Ovis aries: one gene and its partners. The protein of the gene in region 1 purifies or fractionates together with the protein of each later gene. This does not show direct contact. Links are inferred from orthologs where the notes say so. Each region holds a gene or a part of one and is shown in the gene's direction. Other genes may lie near its edges.

What was found.
Region 2: the proteins of RNF111 (region 1) and SMAD2 purify together in Homo sapiens (affinity purification with western blotting, with the first as the bait; 3 studies listed by BioGRID). This does not show direct contact. The link is inferred for Ovis aries from reciprocal best matches to the Homo sapiens genes RNF111 and SMAD2.
Region 3: the proteins of RNF111 (region 1) and SKI purify together in Homo sapiens (affinity purification with western blotting, with the first as the bait; 3 studies listed by BioGRID). This does not show direct contact. The link is inferred for Ovis aries from reciprocal best matches to the Homo sapiens genes RNF111 and SKI.

What each region holds. Positions count from the first base shown.
Region 1 is NC_056060.1:49,377,601-49,380,114, reverse strand, and holds the end of RNF111 (E3 ubiquitin-protein ligase Arkadia), read left to right. Parts: intron 1-352; coding exon 353-470; 3' UTR 471-2,008; downstream 2,009-2,514. UniProt on the Homo sapiens protein: E3 ubiquitin-protein ligase. Required for mesoderm patterning during embryonic development. Acts as an enhancer of the transcriptional responses of the SMAD2/SMAD3 effectors, which are activated downstream of BMP.
Region 2 is NC_056076.1:47,914,034-47,917,782, reverse strand, and holds the start of SMAD2 (mothers against decapentaplegic homolog 2), read left to right. Parts: upstream 1-1,345; 5' UTR 1,346-1,448; intron 1,449-1,744; exon of another isoform or gene 1,745-1,884; intron 1,885-3,749. UniProt on the Homo sapiens protein: Receptor-regulated SMAD (R-SMAD) that is an intracellular signal transducer and transcriptional modulator activated by TGF-beta (transforming growth factor) and activin type 1 receptor kinases.
Region 3 is NC_056065.1:49,878,462-49,882,210, reverse strand, and holds the start of SKI (ski oncogene), read left to right. Parts: upstream 1-1,155; coding exon 1,156-1,245; intron 1,246-1,515; coding exon 1,516-1,822; intron 1,823-1,939; coding exon 1,940-3,749. UniProt on the Homo sapiens protein: May play a role in terminal differentiation of skeletal muscle cells but not in the determination of cells to the myogenic lineage. Functions as a repressor of TGF-beta signaling.

The sequences.
Region 1 (2,514 bases):
TTATGGGGAACATATTGCCAACTCTAATAAATTGGCAGCTCATGTATAGAAACAAAGTTGGAATAATTGTTACTGTAGTTGTTGTTCTTAAAATTCTTGAGATTTTATATAATTTGATTCTTCAACTGTGACAGTTAATTATCTTGGTCATTAATACATTACATTGCCCAAAGTATTAATTTAATGTAGGTATATAATCTTGAGTAGGGAGGTTTTTTTTTTTTTTTAACAAAAGAGAAAATGCTTAGTAACTTCATAATATTACTGAAGTATTACATGTATCATTTGTTTAAATGCCACTGCACTTGTCATAAAATAAACTTTTGCTTTTTGTTTTGTTTACTTACAATAGACGCCTTCCCTGTATGCACCTTTTCCACCAAGTGTGTGTTGACCAGTGGTTGATCACCAATAAGAAGTGCCCCATTTGCAGAGTGGACATTGAGGCCCAGCTGCCAAGTGAAAGTTGACACCATGTTTCAGAACTCTTACCCTCCCTCTCATTCCCACCCTCCTGGTACTGCAGTCAACCAAAGATGGCATGACTTACCTGCGCAGATTCGGAAGCCTTGAACTTAAGAGTGCTGGCTCTGCTACATGGTACAACTAATGCTAGACCTACAGTTTATGTATACAGTTGATTTTGATGTATTTATAAAAGCTTTTTTTTTTTCTAGATTTGACATTTTTCCTGTATCATTTTACTGTATTTTTGCATGGTTCCTTGTATTGCATTTCTTTGCACATATTATGGGCTTGTGACCCTAAACTTGCAGGCAAGATTAGCTGCTTTAGTAAGTAGAATTTTGTGGTCTTTTTGGTTTTTACATAGTACCAGGTCTTGAGAATTATGAATTTTTTTATCCATTACTAACGTTTAATTTAATCAATCATGTACTTTAGTTTAATGTATAAAGATCCTCTAGAAAATGATAATATTGTGTATTAAGACATTCCTTAATTAGGACAAAATGGCTGCTGTATATTTACAATATGGAGTTCTGAGTTCAATACCACCCTTGATACCGGGAACAGAATACAAACCATTTTCAATCAGATGCAGGTGGTACTCACATCACCAGAGTGATCAATAGAATTCTTCTTGGTGTATCCTTTTCCTTTTAGCACAATGCAGATAGAGTTGAATATTAATACCATACATTTAGACTGCTGTTCCTATTGTATTTATCTTTTTCCTCCATCATTTAGAACTTTATTTCCCAGATCCAATTTTTGCTGCTGTGAAACAGCTCTGATGAACACTAAATATTAATTTCAATTAGCTGGATTGTATATACTTGCAGATTTAACAAAATTTTAGGGAAATTGAAGAAGACATGTAGAATTTCACTCAGTCTTCTGCTAAGCACGCGTAGTAAAGATATCTGCTTACATTGATTTTTGTAAACACATTTAGTCAGGATTTAGAATTGCAGTCATTGGCAGGTATCTATGCATTCATAGAACTTCTAAAGGTCCCAGAATCACTTTTAAAGGGATTTTTATTAGTTTAAAGATAAATAAAGTCAGCTGAATCTACATGTCTCTTGTTTTATTTCTCTTTAAGCTTGAAAACAGTAAATCTGCAGATACTGTGAGGCACAAATTATACTGTCAACCTACTGTTGCTCTGGTTTTAGACTCCCACTTCATACATTACCAAGAGTCGATCACTGATTTAAAATTTTTAATTTCTATAGTTAAGATTTACTGCATAATATAGAATATTAAAGTTAAGTTAATGTACTAACATTTCTCTTTTGGAGAAAGTTTTAATCCACTTCAGGATGCATATTATCAAGATACTTTCATATACAGGATAGCCTAATTTTATTTGTCTAAATATGCTTAATATGCCCCAGATTGCAAATGCATCAGTCAGTAACATCACTGTCTGTATGTGGAAGACATGTTCCCATGGATCATATGTGAAGATGTCGATAAGCTTGCATTAAGCCACCTGCTTTGTAAGTGGATTGATTAATAAATAACTTATATTTCTATTGTCTTTGTGTTTCATAATTCATTTTTATAAAACTGCCTACATTGAACATTATGGGATTCAAAAACAGTGATCTCACTCAGGTTGACATTTGCCTAATTTTGTTTGTATTCATTCAGTTATGGCTACTTGCCTTTTTTTTGTATTAGTGAATGTTACACTGAGTAATTGTCAATATCAACATGCTTCAGCATAGTAGGTGTTAGAGATCAAGGGTGGATTATGGTTAAGAAAATTGGATATAAAATAATACAATTAATAAGAATGCTAGCAGCAGTTGTGAAAGGGTTGTGGGAGGGGTGGCAAGACAGAATGAGAAAGAGAAAGAGAGACTTTGCCATATTACTGGGGAGAAGAGCTAGTAGCCCATATTCTGCTGGCCTAGATGTAGGACTTTACCACTGGAAAACCTGTGGTCCAGGCCAAGGGATAAAATGGGGAGAATTCTATACAACGAAGTCCTCTTGATGCTCCCCAAAACACAAATACATACAGATTTCTCTATTTTTTTA
Region 2 (3,749 bases), on another chromosome or scaffold:
GACAAGAACCAAGAAAACCATGTTACAGGTCTAATCTCTGCCACCAACGACCTATGTGAGACCCGAATTTCTTCTCAACTTGAAGTTCTATGGTGTTCTCTGCCTAACATCGTACATGCTTGATAATCGCTTAATATGACTGGCTGGGTTCAAGATTTCAGGCAGAGGCTCGGGGTCTGCAAGGAAAAGGCGACCAAAGTTTCTAGCAGCTTAGAGGCTTTGCAGTGCAGACGTGCGAGGATGGGGTCTAAGAACAGCGCCTGAGCAGTGCAGAAATGAAGAACGGGGCAAATAACTCAGCAATTGTGGGATATCGTGCCAGGCACTTGCGTTCTAGACTTCACAAGGAGCATTCAGAACACGCAAAACGAGCACCATTTTTTCACGAAGACAGGACCAAGTTTCCGTTCAACAAAAATACCTGTGACCACCCCCCCCCCCCCCGCCCCCGCCTCCCCACCAGACCCTACAGCCCAAGCAAAGAGCTCGGCCCCGGGCTTATTTACATCTCGGACCCCGCCCCCGTTTACCACCACGAGGGCCGCGCCCACTCATTCGCACAGGGTGCCCCACGCGTGGGTCCAGGACGCAGGCTTTGGCACACCCCTCTTCGGCCCCTTAGCTCGCCCACCGTCGGGGCCTCCCACCCCGAGGATAAGCACGCCTCCACTCCAGGCTTGACTACAGAGAAGGTGGGCCGGGCGGCGGCTTCCGACAGGCCCCACCCAGTGGTGCCGGCCAGAGACGGGGACGGAGGACCAGCCGCGATCAGGACGGAAAGGTGGTCGCCCTCACGGCAGGTTACGCGCCTCCCCTCCCCGCCCCCCACTCCCTTTCCCAGAGTTTCCCGTGCGAGCGCGCCAGAGAAGAAGCCAACCGAAACCGCGGGCATCCCACCCCGCCTAAGTCCTCCGCCGCCCGCCCGGCCGCGCCTCGCCTCACGCTCTACGGGGGAGGCGGGACCAATCAGAGAGCGACGTCTCCCTTCCGATTCGAGGCCCCCGACGCGCGGCTCACACCCCGAGCAGCCAGCGCGCTGATTGGCTGCGTGCGCCGCCGGTCCGGCCGGGAGGGCGGGGAGGCCGGAGGGAAAGGAGGTGGGGAGAGGTAGCGGCCCGCGCCTCTCAGAGCCCACAGCTCGCGCCCTGGCCCTAACACGGGCGCTCGGGCCTAACCCCTTCTCTTTCTTCGCTGCCCGGGTCTTCCGCGCGCGCCCCCAAGGCCGCGCGCTCGGCCAGCGTACCTCGCGCCCCTAACGGGCGTCCGGGGGCGCCAATCAGCGGGCGGCAGGGTGCCAGCCCCCCGGGGCTGCGCCGGCGAATCGGCGGGGCTCGCGGCCCGGGGTGGGAGGCGGGGCTACCGCGCGGCCGCGGCGGCGGCGGCGGCGGCGGCGGCGGAGGAGCAGCTCCCAGCCACCAGCCAGCGAGCGCCGAGCGAGCCGCCCGGAGGTGGGTGCGCCGCGCCGCTGCGGCCGGCGGCGAAGGGCGCAGGGCGGAAGCGGAGGTGGGGCCGGCGGGCGCGGCGGGGGAGGACGGCTCGGCCGTCGGGGGCCGCCCGGGTGGGGGCGAGGCGGGCGGGCGCGCGCCCGAGGGGAGGAGGGGCGGCGGTGGCGGCGGCGGGACGCGCGTCCCCATCCCCTCCTCCCCGCGGGCGGCGGCCGGGCCCGCGCCGCCCCCTCTCCCGTCCCCTCCCCGCGCGCCGGGGCCGCCGGCCGGGCTCCGGCTGGGGGGGCGGGGCGGCCGCCAGAGTGTTTTCAGTTCCGCCTCCAGTCGGCCCATTCCCCTCTCCCCTCCCGGCCCCTCCATCCCTTTCGGAAGAGGAAGGAACAAAGGTCCCGGACCCCCCCGGACTCTTGACGGGGCGGGACCCGGAGCCTCGGTCCAGGTAACGCCGCGGCGCCCGGCGGGGCCTCGGGGCCGGGGTGTGTCTCTGTGGGGCTCGGGGTCGGTGAGGCGGGCCGGCCGCGTCACCTGGCCGGGCCGAGGGGCCGGGGTGTGGCGAGGCGCCTGGCGGCTCGCGGGGTGCGGGAGTGCGGGGCGGGGCGGCCGGGGGGACGGGGGTCGGCGCTGGGAGCCACCCGCCCGCTCGCCCGCCCGCCCGCGCGCGCGGCCCGGGGCGGGGGCCGGCTGTGTGGCCCGGCCCGTCCCCTCCTCCTCCGTGGCGGTCACCCTCGGTAGTTTGTGGTGGTGATTTTCAAATCCCGCAGGGACGAGGCTCTGGTTTCGGGGACTTGTTGGGAAGCCCGAGTTAGGAGCATGCGAGACTTTGCTTCCACTCCCCCCCCCCCCACTTCCCTGGTGCTGTAACCTTTGTTAACCATTCTGGTCTCGGGGTTCAGAATCGCGAGCGTGTGCTCTCACACAAACACGCACACTGCTGGTACTCCGTCCACATAACTTCTCCACTAGCTTGTGAAAGTTGCTCTTGTGAGCGGAGCCTATTAGTTTTAGTTTTTTTTTTTTAATCACACGCCTTTAGAGAGCAAGCTAATTGATTTCAACGTATTTCAAACTTGGTTTTCAAATCCTGCAGCTTTAATTGTTTTCTTCTCTCCTGGGGAATACTGCCCTTAGATTGAGTACTTTTGTTTTCTACTTACTTAATCCTTTCGTGGTTAATGGTTTCCTTTTGATCCTGAACAAAAGAAAAAAACAGTAGTTAGGTTGGTTTTGTTATTCCTTCCTCTTGACCCTTAAAAAAGCTAAATACTGCCGGTTTGTTGTCAACTAACCCTTTATTTAAAAAGAGACGTTTCCAGGTAAAACGAAAATGAGGTAGCATTTTTCCATCAGTCTTGTCATGTTTGTTACAGTTTGGGGTTTCCTAAATTGTGGTGTTTTAGCACGACACAGCTAAATTTGTTGTGAATAAATAAATGATCTCGCGAACTTGCTTGGAGTAATTGCATCTTTTCAAAAATTCCATCTTCTGGTTTCATATGAATTGAACCTTCACCACTGATTGTAAGGGTGCTTTCCTTGAGACAAATAGATAATACACTCTATTATTTTGATAATACATTAGCTGTTCTAGTTTTGATCCCTTAAAAAAGTTAGGGTTAGGGGGTGTGTAAGGTAAATAGTTAAATTTGGGAAGTTGTGAACAAGTAAATGAAGCAAATATTCTAGAGATGAAAGAAATAATGTAAAGTGGGCCTCATAAATGTGTCATAGTTTGAAGATGTTTTTTTATTTGCCTTAAAAAAAAGTACCATACAAGATATTGATAGAATTTTCTCCACCAGAAGTTCATTTAGCAAACATTTATATCAAAGTCAGAGACCAACACTGATTTTATTTTTAAAGTTTCTTAAGTTTTTTTTCTGCTGTAAAATTAGTTGTTGTAGTAAATAAGAACAGTTCAAATCTATTGGCATTTCTAAGATGAGTGCCCACTTAAACCCTTAATGTTAAAGTTGAGTTTGAAGTAGTTCATTGGTCTATTTTAATTAATGTAAGGTGTTCGGAAACATCCATTCTGGGCTTTTTTTTTTTTAGTATGAAAGTGCTGTTAGAACTTGGTTTTTATACTTTGTAGCTATACCTTCTAGTGATTTCACATTCTAAGTGTTCAGCAAAGTTTGGCTTTTTAAAGTTGTAACTTACCTGTATCTAGTCATAAATGGTCAAATCTCTGCACACACATCTGTAAGGTTCATGAAATAATAGTTTGCAAGAAACTGTGCAGAGTAATTTCCTGTTGTTTGTGGCTTGTCAGGCTTGGTATGTGCTTTAACTCTTAAGTAGGAA
Region 3 (3,749 bases), on another chromosome or scaffold:
ACAGCAGCATGCCAGGCTTCCCTGTCCTCCTTCACCATCTCCGAGAGTTTGCTCAAACTCATGTCCATTGAATCGGTGCTGACATCCAACTGTCTCATCCTCTGTTGCTCCCTTCTCCTCCTGCTGTCAATCTTTCCCAGCATCAGGGTCTTTTCCAGTGAGTCAGTTCTTCACATCAGGTGGCCGAAGTATTGGATCTTCAGCTTCAGGTTCAGTCCTTCCAATGAATATTCAGGGTTGATTTCCTTTAGGACTGACTGGTTTGATTTCCTTGCAGTCCAAGGGACACTCAAGAATCTTCTCCAGCACCATGGAGTCTGCGAAAGCAAAGACATCTCTTTTCTTGTTTTGTATGGACCCCTTTCCTAGTTTTCCTGTGTTGGCAGCCATAGGAAAACCTGGTGTTCAGTGGACATGTGGGTAGGAGAGGGTTCACGCTCACGGTAGGGAGCTGTCAGTTCTTCAGATGTAGAGCAATGCACCCTGAACCACAAGGTCCCCCCATGAGATTCTGCAGCCATACAGATGTGGGGTCTCTGCCCATTCTTGCTGCCTCTCTGGACACTTGTCCATGCCTGCAGAGACACCCATTCAGCTCCCCGGGGCAGGAATGCTGGTTTGGGGCCAGTTTCCATCTCCAAAGGGGAGTCAGGAGCAGTAAGGTCCAAGCTGAAGGTCACACAGGCTGAAGTGGGTGGGCCCTCTCACCTCTGCCCAACACTGTGGGCCCCCCATGTGTCCTCCAGTGTCTGGGCCAGCTTGGGTGCCCCGGTCCTTTGGAAGAAAAGTCGCCACTGCCTAGCTGGGCTGGACTGTCCCTCTGCCCTTGAGTTAAGCACAACCAGAACTGTCTTCTAGATCTCAAGTCCCAAGCTCCCAGGACTCTGCTAGACACTGTTTCCTCTGGGGGCCACCCGGTCAGCCTGTCCAACCTCAGGCCCTTGTCTTGTCCCACCCAGCGCTTTCTGGTCTGTCTGTCCTTCGTGATAGAGCCAGGGTGCAGAAGGATGGACAGTGTGATCTCACACTGGCCCTGCCCTGGGTGCCCTGCAGATGTAAAATGGCTCTTTGAGCCTGGGAGCTGTTGGGTAAGGGTAGGGCCAGCGTGCTCGGGGCACGCAGGCAGGAGCCAGGTTCCTGAGAAGCCCCGGCCTCATGGTAACCTGGACGCAAGCCCTGCCCTGGAACTGGCGGTGGGCGCACAAAGTAGCTGTGTGGGGGACCATCGAGCAGGGTCGTGGGGTGGTCGGCCCTGCAGCCAGTCATCCTTTGGGGGTTGCTGTGTTGCGCCTGCATTGCTCGGGGGGACCCCCAGAACAGTCTGCACGGTGCCTGTCTCCCGTGTGGGGTCTCTGGGGTGTTGCCATCCTGTAGTAACCCACGTCGTCTGGCTCGGTGTCCTAGTCCTGCGTGGGACTTGGGTCATATTGCCTCGTCACGTGCGTGGGGACCCGGGGGGCTGGGCCGGGAGGCGTGCGGTAGAGGGTGCGCCGGCCCCATCCGTCCGCCCCTCAGCTGGTTTGCGGTTGTGGTGGGGGGGCCCTGTGTGGGTTTCTGGGCTCCGGCGGCGACACGGCGGCTGGACGGGCGCCTTCGCAGCCGCGCAGGAAACAGCCTCCACCGGATGGGGGGCCCGGGGCGCAGCCACCGCCCCCGCCGAGCGGCCTTCCGGCGAGCGGGCCCGAACGGAGCCGAACGGAGCTGAGTCCCGGACGGGCGGGGCCGAGAGTAGCCGAGCGAAGCCGAGTCGCGGGCGGGCAGGCCCGAGACCAGCCGAGCGGATCCGAGTCCCGGGCCGGAGGGCGGACCCGAATGCGGCCGAGTGAGGCGGAGCGCCGAGCGCGGGCGGGGGGAGCGCGCGTTCCTGGAAGAGCCTGGCCGGGGGGGCGGCGGGCGCATTCCTGGCTGGCGCTCGGCTGAGGCCGACGCGCGGCCCCAGACGACGCTCGGGGCGGGGCGGTGGCGCGGGGCGGGGCGGGACGCGGGGCGGGGCGGCGGCGTGAGCTCAGCGCCGGGCGCTCAGTCCGAGCTGGAGCGAGCCGCCGGGAGGATGTGCGCCGAGCCCCGCGCCGCCGCCGCCGCCGCGGTCTGAGGCCGCCCCACAGGCGCTCCGCCGCCCCGGAAGCCGCGTGCGCGGGCGGGCGGGCGGGTGGGCAGGCCGCGGAGCCGGGCGCGGGCGGCGGGGTGGGTGCGGGCCGGGCCGGGAGGCCGGCGGCGGGCGCAACGCGGCCGGCCAGCGCCGCCGGGACGAGCCGGGCGGGCGCCGCGCGGTGGGAGGAGCGGGGCGGCGGCGGCGCGCCGCGCGAGGACGGCCCGGCGGGCCCCGCGCCCGCGCCCCCGCTCCTCCCGGGCCCCTCGGCCTCGGCCGCCGCGGCGATTCGCGCCTCGCGGCGCCGGCACCTGCCCGCGCGCCCCCCGCGAGCCCCGGGCCCGCGAGCGTTGGCGTTGGCGTTGGCGGCGCGCGCTGGGGCATGCCCCGCGCCTAGGGCCCGGGGGGCGCGCGGGGGGCGCGCGGGGGGCCCGGGCGGCGGCGGGCGCGGCGCGGGGCGCGTGGATGTGGCGCCGGGCCCGGGCGGCGGCGGCGGGCTCCAGCGGCGGGACCCCTTCGCCCCGCCCGCCTTCCCCTTCGGGCCCCCGGGCGAGGCCGAGGCCGCGGCCGTGATCGGCCGGGAGCCGGCGGCGGGGGGCGGCCGGGGCCGGGGCCGGGGGCGCCGCCGGGGCGCGCGGGGCGGCGGCGGGGGCCGCGGGGGCCCGGGCACGCGGGAGCGGGAGCGGCCTGGGGAGCCGGAGCGCACCATGGAGGCGGCGGCGGGCGGCCGCGGCGGCTTCCAACCGCACCCGGGGCTGCAGAAGACGCTGGAGCAGTTCCACCTCAGCTCCATGAGCTCGCTGGGCGGCCCGGCCGCCTTCTCGGCGCGCTGGGCGCAGGAGGCCTACAAGAAGGAGAGCGCCAAGGAGGCGGGCGCGGCCGCGGTGCCGGCGCCGGTGCCCGCGGCCGCCGAACCCCCGCCGGTGCTGCACCTGCCCGCCATCCAGCCGCCGCCGCCCGTGCTACCCGGGCCCTTCTTCATGCCGTCCGACCGCTCCACGGAGCGCTGCGAGACCGTGCTGGAGGGCGAGACCATCTCGTGTTTCGTGGTGGGCGGCGAGAAGCGGCTGTGTCTGCCGCAGATCCTCAACTCCGTGCTGCGCGACTTCTCGCTGCAACAGATCAACTCGGTGTGCGACGAGCTTCACATCTACTGCTCGCGCTGCACGGCCGACCAGCTGGAGATCCTCAAAGTCATGGGCATCCTGCCCTTCTCGGCGCCCTCGTGCGGGCTCATCACCAAGACGGACGCCGAGCGCCTGTGCAACGCGCTGCTGTACGGCGGCGCCTACCCGCCGCCCTGCAAGAAGGAGCTGGCGGCCAGCCTGGCGCTGGGCCTGGAGCTCAGCGAGCGCAGTGTGCGTGTGTACCACGAGTGCTTCGGCAAGTGCAAGGGGCTGCTGGTGCCCGAGCTCTACAGCAGCCCAAGCGCCGCCTGCATCCAGTGCCTCGACTGCCGCCTCATGTACCCGCCGCACAAGTTCGTGGTGCACTCGCACAAGGCTCTGGAAAACCGGACCTGCCACTGGGGCTTCGACTCGGCCAACTGGCGGGCCTACATCCTGCTCAGTCAGGACTACACGGGCAAGGAGGAGCAGGCGCGTCTCGGCCGCTGTCTGGACGACGTCAAGGAGAAGTTTGATTATGGCAACAAGTACAA